2 linked regions of the Sus scrofa genome follow. The main gene of each other region encodes a partner of the protein of the gene in region 2 in a complex. Links are inferred from orthologs where the notes say so. Each region holds a gene or a part of one and is shown on either strand. Other genes may lie near its edges. The genes, in order: SCARB2 and GBA.

What was found.
Region 1: the proteins of GBA (region 2) and SCARB2 are in contact, whole or in part, in a cryo-EM structure (PDB 9FJF), measured with the Homo sapiens proteins. The link is inferred for Sus scrofa from reciprocal best matches to the Homo sapiens genes GBA1 and SCARB2. Residues at the interface, in NP_000148.2 of Homo sapiens: Leu130, Asn131, Ala134, Ile169, Glu190, Lys194, Leu195, Pro430, Arg434, Ile445, Thr446, Asp448; in NP_005497.1 of Homo sapiens: Lys161, Ala162, Tyr163, Gln164, Lys181, Glu183, Leu187, Phe191, Arg192.

Annotation. Positions count from the first base shown.
Region 1 is NC_010450.4:71,907,441-71,911,674, forward strand, and holds the start of SCARB2 (lysosome membrane protein 2 precursor), read right to left. Parts: upstream 3,022-4,234; 5' UTR 2,702-3,021; coding exon 2,585-2,701; intron 1-2,584.
Region 2 is NC_010446.5:94,603,971-94,607,418, reverse strand, and holds the end of GBA (glucosylceramidase), read right to left. Parts: coding exon 3,399-3,448; intron 2,831-3,398; coding exon 2,606-2,830; intron 2,234-2,605; coding exon 2,070-2,233; intron 1,721-2,069; coding exon 1,604-1,720; intron 1,509-1,603; coding exon 1,403-1,508; 3' UTR 730-1,402; downstream 1-729. Other genes in the region: MTX1 (metaxin-1), read left to right, coding at 254-408, 509-723. UniProt on the Homo sapiens protein: Glucosylceramidase that catalyzes, within the lysosomal compartment, the hydrolysis of glucosylceramides/GlcCers (such as beta-D-glucosyl-(1<->1')-N-acylsphing-4-enine) into free ceramides (such as N-acylsphing-4-enine) and glucose.

The sequences.
Region 1 (4,234 bases), on a different chromosome or scaffold from region 2:
GGCAAAGTCCTTCCTCTTTCCCACGCCTCTCATGCTACCACCCTACAGGTGATCCAGAAAAGCAGGATGGTGATGATATAGCAATGAATGACCTCTGGCCCCACAAGAGCCCCTCGCCTGTCCACTGAAATTCTCCCTGGCACACTCCGTCTTGTGCAGGGTTGCTTAACAGGGTCAAGGAATGCGGCAAGTCCACTTCCCCTGTACTTTGGTTTATTAGTCAGATCAGAGTCCATGCCTCAGGGAGAAAAGCACCAAAAATCAACGCGCACTCAAGCCCCACCCAAGCTGCCTAATAGCGCCTCCCCCCTCCCTGCCCCCACCCGTGAACACAGCCACAGAGTGGCTGAGGGCTGGTAATGAGTACCCAGGGCACTGGGGCGATCAACTGTCCTGCCGGGCTCCCTTGAAACAGCCTTTCAAAGCCACGCAAGAAAATTCAATGGACTATAATTGGATTGCTCAACTCTAGTCACCCAGGAGAGAGGTTACATCCTTGAACAATCTTGCCATGGCTTTGCAGGGGCCCGGGAGTGGAGAAATTTGGTTTAGCTTTTTCTCCGAACACAGGTGCTCAGGGAAAACAATGGCCTTTAAGAAGCTTTGTCTCCCCTTGGCAATGTGAACTTAAAATAAATAAATAAATAAACTATGCTTTGCAATGGCATTTTTTTTTTTTTTTTGGTCTTTTTGCCACTTCTTGGACTGCTCCCACGGCATATGGAGGTTCCCAGGCTAGGGGTCCAATCGGAGCTGTAGCCACCAGCCCATGCCAGAGCCACAGCAATGCGGGATCCAAGCCGCATCTTTGACCTACACCACAGCTCACGGCAATGCCAGATCCTCAACCCACTGAGCAAGGCCAGGGATCGAACCCGTAACCTCATGGCTCCTAGTCGGATTCGTTAACCACTGAGCCACAACAGGAACTCCTGCAATGGCATCTTTTAAAAATTGCCTTTAACTATCAGATTTCAAGTAATTGATGGCTTTTTTTTATTTTATTTTATTTTTTCTTTTTAGGGCCACACCTGTGGCATATGGAGGTTCCCAGGCTGGGAGTCCAATCTGAGCTACAGCTGCCTGCCTATACCACAGCCACAGCAACTTGGGATCCAAGTTGAGCCTCTGACCTACACCACAAGCTGGCAGTAATGGCAGATCCTCAACCCGCTGGGCAAGGCCAGGGATGGAACCCAAGTCCCCATGGATACTAGTCCGGGGTTCATTAACCACTGAGCCACAATGGGAACTCCTAACTGATGGGTTCTAGAAGCCTCTAGTAGGAGTTCCCGGTGTGGCTCAGTGGTTAACGAATCCGACTAGGAACCATGAGATTGCAGGTTCGATCCCTGGCCTTGCTCAGTGGGTTAAGGATCTGGTGCTGCCGTGAGCTGTGGTGTAGGTCGCAGACGTGGCTTGGATCTGGAGTTGCTGTGGCCTAGGTTGGCAGGTACATCTCTGATTAGACCCCTAGCCTGGGAACCTCCATATGCCCAGGGATTGGCCCTAGAAAAAAGCAAAAAGAAAAAAAGAAACCTGTATTAAAGAAATATGCCTGTTGCCACCTAGAATGAAACAATCTTGCTAACTGGGAATGCAGTGATCAAATCCGGAGGTAGCCTGGGCTTTTTTATCCGGCCAGGAGCAAGAGTTAACCAGCAGGAGAAACGAGGCATGAAGTTATGGGTGCTAAGGAGAAAGGCTGCTCCAATCTTTTTCTTTCTTTCCCTTTTGTTTTAGGAAAAAGTGTCTCAGTAACTCTCTTTTTCATCTTTCCACACAGATTGGTGGATGTGGGTGACAGGGCAGAAGAAATGACTCCTGGGGAAGCCATAGGATGGAGAAATCTGAAATGACGAGCTCTCCAGCCCACCTACCTAGGTGGACGGGACTGGCTCAGATTCTGTTATGAATCGAAATGCATCTTTGCCTGAGGTTTACCGCTGTTGAAGAGGAAGAACCATGAGTGAGACAAAGCAACGGAGGATGTTGGTTCTGACCGAACCGGCTAAGTCTGTGGGTGAGCACTGAAATGTCACCCACCCCAGAGGCCTGGCCTGGCTACCCAATGCGAGGCCCAGCCCAGGAAGGCAAGAACACAATAGACCACACACCCGCTTTTCCTCCTCAGCCCCACACCACTTCAGAGGCCTCAGCAAGCAGCCAAAAACCTGTTCCAGCTGTGGTGTCTTTCATTTAGTTTTATTTCTTCATGAAGTCGGAGGGAAACGAGCTTGGGCCCAACAGTGATGGGGCAAAGGGAGGGCCTGGGGTGGGGGTGGGGGAATGCAAATGGTGGAATATAAGGGCTAGCCTTTTAAAAAGTCGAGATCCAGAGTCTTATTATTCTAAAAGGAACACGGTCAGTGCCATTCCTCGCCATCCTTCTTTAACCCTTTCCAGCCCACCCCGAGAAGGCGAGGGCGAAAAAAGGGCTCTGGTCCAGAGGGTTTGCCCGGGCACAGATCCTCCCTGGACAAGGTTCAGCAGTGGGGAGTGGGGTGGAAGTGTGCCCCCAGCACTCAAGCGCCTTCTCTCTCTCTCTCTCTCACACACACACACACACACACACACGCCTCACCTTCTCGATCGCCTGGTCCACGGCCTTCTGGAAGACTCTGGCCACCAGCAGCGTGACGCTGGTCACCAGCAGGAGCAGGGACAGCGTCCCCACCGCGTAGAAGCAGCACCTGCCCATCCTGCGCACCGCTCACCGGCCGGGGGGCGGGTGGCGGGAGGGGAAAGGAGGGAGGAGCACCGCCGCCGCCCCCGCAGCCGCAGTAAGCAGCCGGAAGACCCGGGACCCTCGGGCGGGTGCTCGCCGCTCCCCGCTCCGCGGCTGGACGATCGCGGCCTCGATGCACCCGGCCTGCCGGCGCGGAGTGGAAGGGTCGCTTTGGTTTCGCTTTCCCCCGCCCCGGCAGCGGCGGTGGGGAGGGAGCGCGCAGGGTGGGGACGCTGGCCGGCCCGGCTCGCCGCAGCCCCGGGAGGAGACAGCGGGCAGCTGCGCCGGGAAGCGGGCGGGGCGGGGCGGGGGCTGAGCCCGCAGTCATGTGCCCCGCGGCAGCAGCTGCGATTCGGCCGGATCGACCCCGGCCGGTCCCCGCAGCGCCAGCCGCGCCCCCGCCCCCTCGCCGCAGGCCCCCGCGGTCACCCGGGAAAACCGCGTATCCTCCCGGGCTGTCCCCGCTCCTCGGTCCGGAGCTGCGGGCCTACAAAGGGCCGCGCCGGCAGATTCAGCCTGGATAGGACACTGCCGCTGCTCTAGACGAGCTCACAAGTTAACGGAGACACTGTTACAGCAGCAAAAGCGCAGTGTAACAAGTGCTTTTATGGGGTGCCTGCTGAGATCTGTGCCCGCAAGCATCTCTGCCTGGGTGACCAAGGACCCCACAACAGAACTGGGACTTGGGGGATGGGTAAGGGTTTGTCACGTGAGGGGTGTGTGCGAGGAGGGAGGCAGCATTTGGAGAAGAAACAGCTGTACGACCTTGGGGGTGAGAGAGCAAGATGGTCAGAGAAAAGAAGGAACTTCCTTTGCCCGCAGGCTCAGGTGTGCAGGTTGGGGTGGGAGGTGTGGAGGCCCCCTTGGGGTCAGACTTGGAAGCGCTCCCGTGTCCCGTAGAAGAATTGCGGCTTTATCTTACCGCAGGGAGGGGATCCGCAAGAAGCCTAAGCAGGAGGCCCGGAGGTTCTCACCTGCCTGGTTCACCGATACTACGTCCCAGGCACCGAGACTAAAAGTCCGCGCGCAGCGGGGACTCCATAAACATTAGTTGAGGGAACCCAACTATATGGCAACTATATGGCAACTATATGGCAGTCCTTGGCTAGGCGCCAACACATACCTACTTAATACCCGCAGCAGCCTTGGGGCTGTTGATCCCAGCAGCGTTAGAGAGGAGCAGGGGTGACAGGAGCACCGTTTGAAGGACACGCAGGTGTGGCTTCTGTGCAGGAGCGCGGCAAGGAAGGAAGGAAGGCTGGACAGGACGAAGTACCCAGCGCAGCTCTAAGAAAGTTCAGCAAGGCCTATGGGGGTGGTGTGGGGTGGGGGGGTGTCCTCAAGCCAAAATGGCCTGGTCCAGGAATCCAGCACCCTCCAGGAGCAGCTTCTTAGTCATGACTGGGAGCAGCCCCAGGAAACTGGCCTCTGTCCCAAGCTGGGATGAGCAACAGCAGATAGATTTTAGGGCTCAGCGGCTGTGACAGGGCTCCGGGTCAGGGCTGC
Region 2 (3,448 bases):
TCAGTGGTACAGGAGGGTGGGAGGGCGGCCAGGCCCAGGAGGGGCCTGCCGGGCTGTGGGGCACTCAATGTGCCCTTTATGCAGTCTTGGGATAGAGTCCCATTCAAGGCCAGGCTGGCGCCACCCGGGGCGCCCTCCCGACACCAGGTCCAGAACTGTGTGTCCTCTCCTCCCCCGGTGGCCCCCTGCTGCCCGGAGCCCACCTCCCAGAGCCGACTCTTCCTCCGACTCCATCTCTCCCGCTTCTCCTCAGCCCCGCCTCCCTGGACGCCTTTGTCTTCAGCTACTTGGCCCTGCTGCAGCAGGCGAAGCTGCCCAGTGGGAAGCTGCAGGCCCACCTCCGGGGGCTGCACAACCTCTGTGCCTACTGCACCCATATCCTCAGCCTCTACTTCCCCTGGGAGGGAGGTAAGGGGCGGATGGGTGGGTGGGGGTCGCCAGCCCTGGGAGAGGGGGGCAGGGATCCAGGAACTAGCTCCCCTGCCCACCTTCCTTCCTTGCCCCTCAGCTGAGGTGCCACGTCCACGCCAGACACCAGCGAGCTCAGAGACTGAGGAGGAGCCATACCGGCGCCGGAACCAGATCCTATCCGTGTTGGCGGGGCTGGCAGCCATGGCGGGCTACGCCTTGCTCAGTGGCATTGTCTCCATTCAGCGGGCACCTCCTGCCCGGGCCCCAAGCACACGGGCCCTGGGCATGGCTGAGGAGGATGAAGAAGAATGACGTATATGCTCCCAGGACTGATTTTTTTACTGTCATGCATTCCAGGGGCCCCTCTGTTTCCCCGTTGTTGGTATGGCTGGAAATGTGGTGCCACCCCCAGAATAAACCTGCTCACAATGACGGGGATCAAACATTCTCTCCTTCAAGAGGCGGTCATTTTTCCTAGCTGGTACGAAGCAGGGGGTCACCTGGGTGCTTGAGTCTACCCACGGGTGCTTGGCTTCTCTCGCTGCCTGTGCCCTAGTGCTGACATCTGTATGGGCCTGGTTCTACATCTTCAAGAAAGACAAACAGTTCCCAGTTTTGGGTCCGGCTTTCCTAGTCTCTTCCTTTCCTTAACCTCTCCCCCCACCCCCCACCCCCCGTGTTTGTGCAGACAGTGAGCTCACCACCCTGGGCCTGGGCCCAGTTTCCACAGGCAACCAGCGCATAGCACACGCTCACACAGGCATGGGGGTGGGGGACCACCGGGGCTTCCTGATCCCTTCCCTAGGGGCCTCTAGCCCCTGGCAGCAACTAGAGGGGAGAGTGAGTCACCCAAACCACGGCCTCCAGGCTTACGTCACCTAAGATCCCTTCGGCCCTGCTGTACCCTCTACAGCCACAGACAGCATGTGAGCTGACTCTGTCTCTTTAATGTCCATGCCGGGCCCAGGCGCCTGCTTCGGTATCTGCTCCATCACTTGCGATGCCACAGGTAGGTGTGAATGGAGTAGCCGGGTGAGATCGTTTCCAGGAAGCCCAGAGCCGGATCCTTGATGGTGAGAGGCACATCCTTCGAGGAGCTGGGGAGGGGAGGGAGGAGAAGCTGAGTAGGTGAGCAGCCCGCCAAGGCCCCCGTCCCGGCTTCAGCCCAGTTCCCAGGCCCTGCTGCTCTCACCGGTTTAGCACGACCACAACGGCCGAGCCATCGGGGCGCAGCAGTGCCACCGTGTCCAAGTTGTTCTTCTCACTGGCAGCCAGCCCCACTCTCTGGGAGCCCTCAGGAATGAACTTGCTGAAACGCAAACAGGCATGGTCAGGGACCCCATCCTAGACCCCCTGGCCCTAAGAAAGTCATCCTCCCTACCGCCACAGAACCCTGCCAAAGATCTGCCCTAACTCTCCAGGCCCCAAGCCAGACGGCTGGGCATGCCCTACCCTCCCACCTCCCAGCCCCAGCACTGGGCATTCTGGGGTTGTCTGTGTCTCTCCTCCCAGCTGGTCACTTCCTGCCTCGATGGTGCAAAAGGGAGAGGTGTACCTGCCCCAGGGATCCCACCCTAAACACCTTCCTGCTCCCTCATGTGGGGCGATACAAGCCCAGGGCAGGAAAGGCTAGGCTGGGGCCCAACCCCTCCACTCACCTGAAGTGGCCAAGGTGGTAAAACATGGGCTGTTTGTAGAATGTGTCCTTGGAGATGTCTACGATGATGGGGCTGTCGACAAAGTTGCGCACCCAGTTGGGTCCCCCTTCGGGGTTCAGGGCGAGGTTCCAGTCAGTCCAGCCAACCACGTGGTAGAGGAGGTTCTAGGGTAGGAACAGGGCAGTCCACATGGGGTCCTCAGGGCATTGAGTTAGGGGCACATGAGGGAGACCGACTCTGGCGCCTCAGCCCTGTGAGGGGGGTGTTTTGTATCCTTAATGTCTAAGGAGGGAGGGTTTGGGAGGATAAGGCGATCCCAAGAGGAGCTGAGAAATCGGGTGGATTGAACAAGGGTGACGGGGTGTGCAGATGGGGGACGGGAAGGCAAGCGAGCAGGTCGTGATATCCCAGAATTTGCCCCAAAGAGTAAGGCAGCTGGGGAAAAGCTGGAGAGGAGGGCCTCCCGTCAACCTTTGCTGAGATCAGTGAGGGGCCTGAGAGGGTCTGCTCTGCACAAAGGGACGCAGGTGGCATACCGTGATGATGCTGTGGCTATACTGCACCCCTCGATCCCAGGAGCCCAGCCGTACGCTCTGCTCCCAGAACTTGGAACCCACACAGGCCTCTGAGGCAAAAAGCATGGTGTTGGGGAACAGGCGGTGTGTCTCCCCCAGGGTGGCTTTTGCTGGAGCCAGAAAGTCCAGGTACCAGTGTACAGCAATGCCATGAACGTACTTAGCCGCCTCTGGGTCCGCCAGCACCTGTATGGGGAGAGAGAAGGACTGCTGGAGAGAGAAAGCCATTGATCCTGGGCCCTGCACAAATGGTTCCGGAAGAGGCCCTAGGACCTGAGAAGTAGGCAGTGGGATGAACCCAACCAGAGGGGGTTTGACAACCATGGGGCCCTGGAGAGCCGGAAGGGGGTCCTCACCACCCCCAGCACCTGGCTGGCCAGGGTGCTCTAGGATTCAAGAGTTGAGGCAGGGGTAGTTCCCATCGTGGTGCAGTGGAAACAAATCCAACTAGGAAGCATGAAGTTATGGGTTCGATCCCTGGTCTAACTCAGGGGTTAAGGATCTGGCGTTGCCGTGAGCTGTGGTGTAGGTTGCAGACGTGGCTCGGATCTGGCATTGCTGTGGCTGTGGTATAGACTGGCAGCTGTAGCTCCAACTGGACCCCTAGCCTGGGAACCTCCATATGCTGCGAGTGTGGCCCTAAAAAGAAAAAAAAAAAAAAAGTTGGGGCAGGGTAGGCACTCTGGCTGGGAGCCCGTCATCTGGATGCTGGATTTGGGGGTCGCAAGGGTACCGTGGAGGTCTTGGGCCTTACCACCTGGGCCCAGTGGGGCAGCAGCAAGCGCTGGTCATCCAGCATGAGCA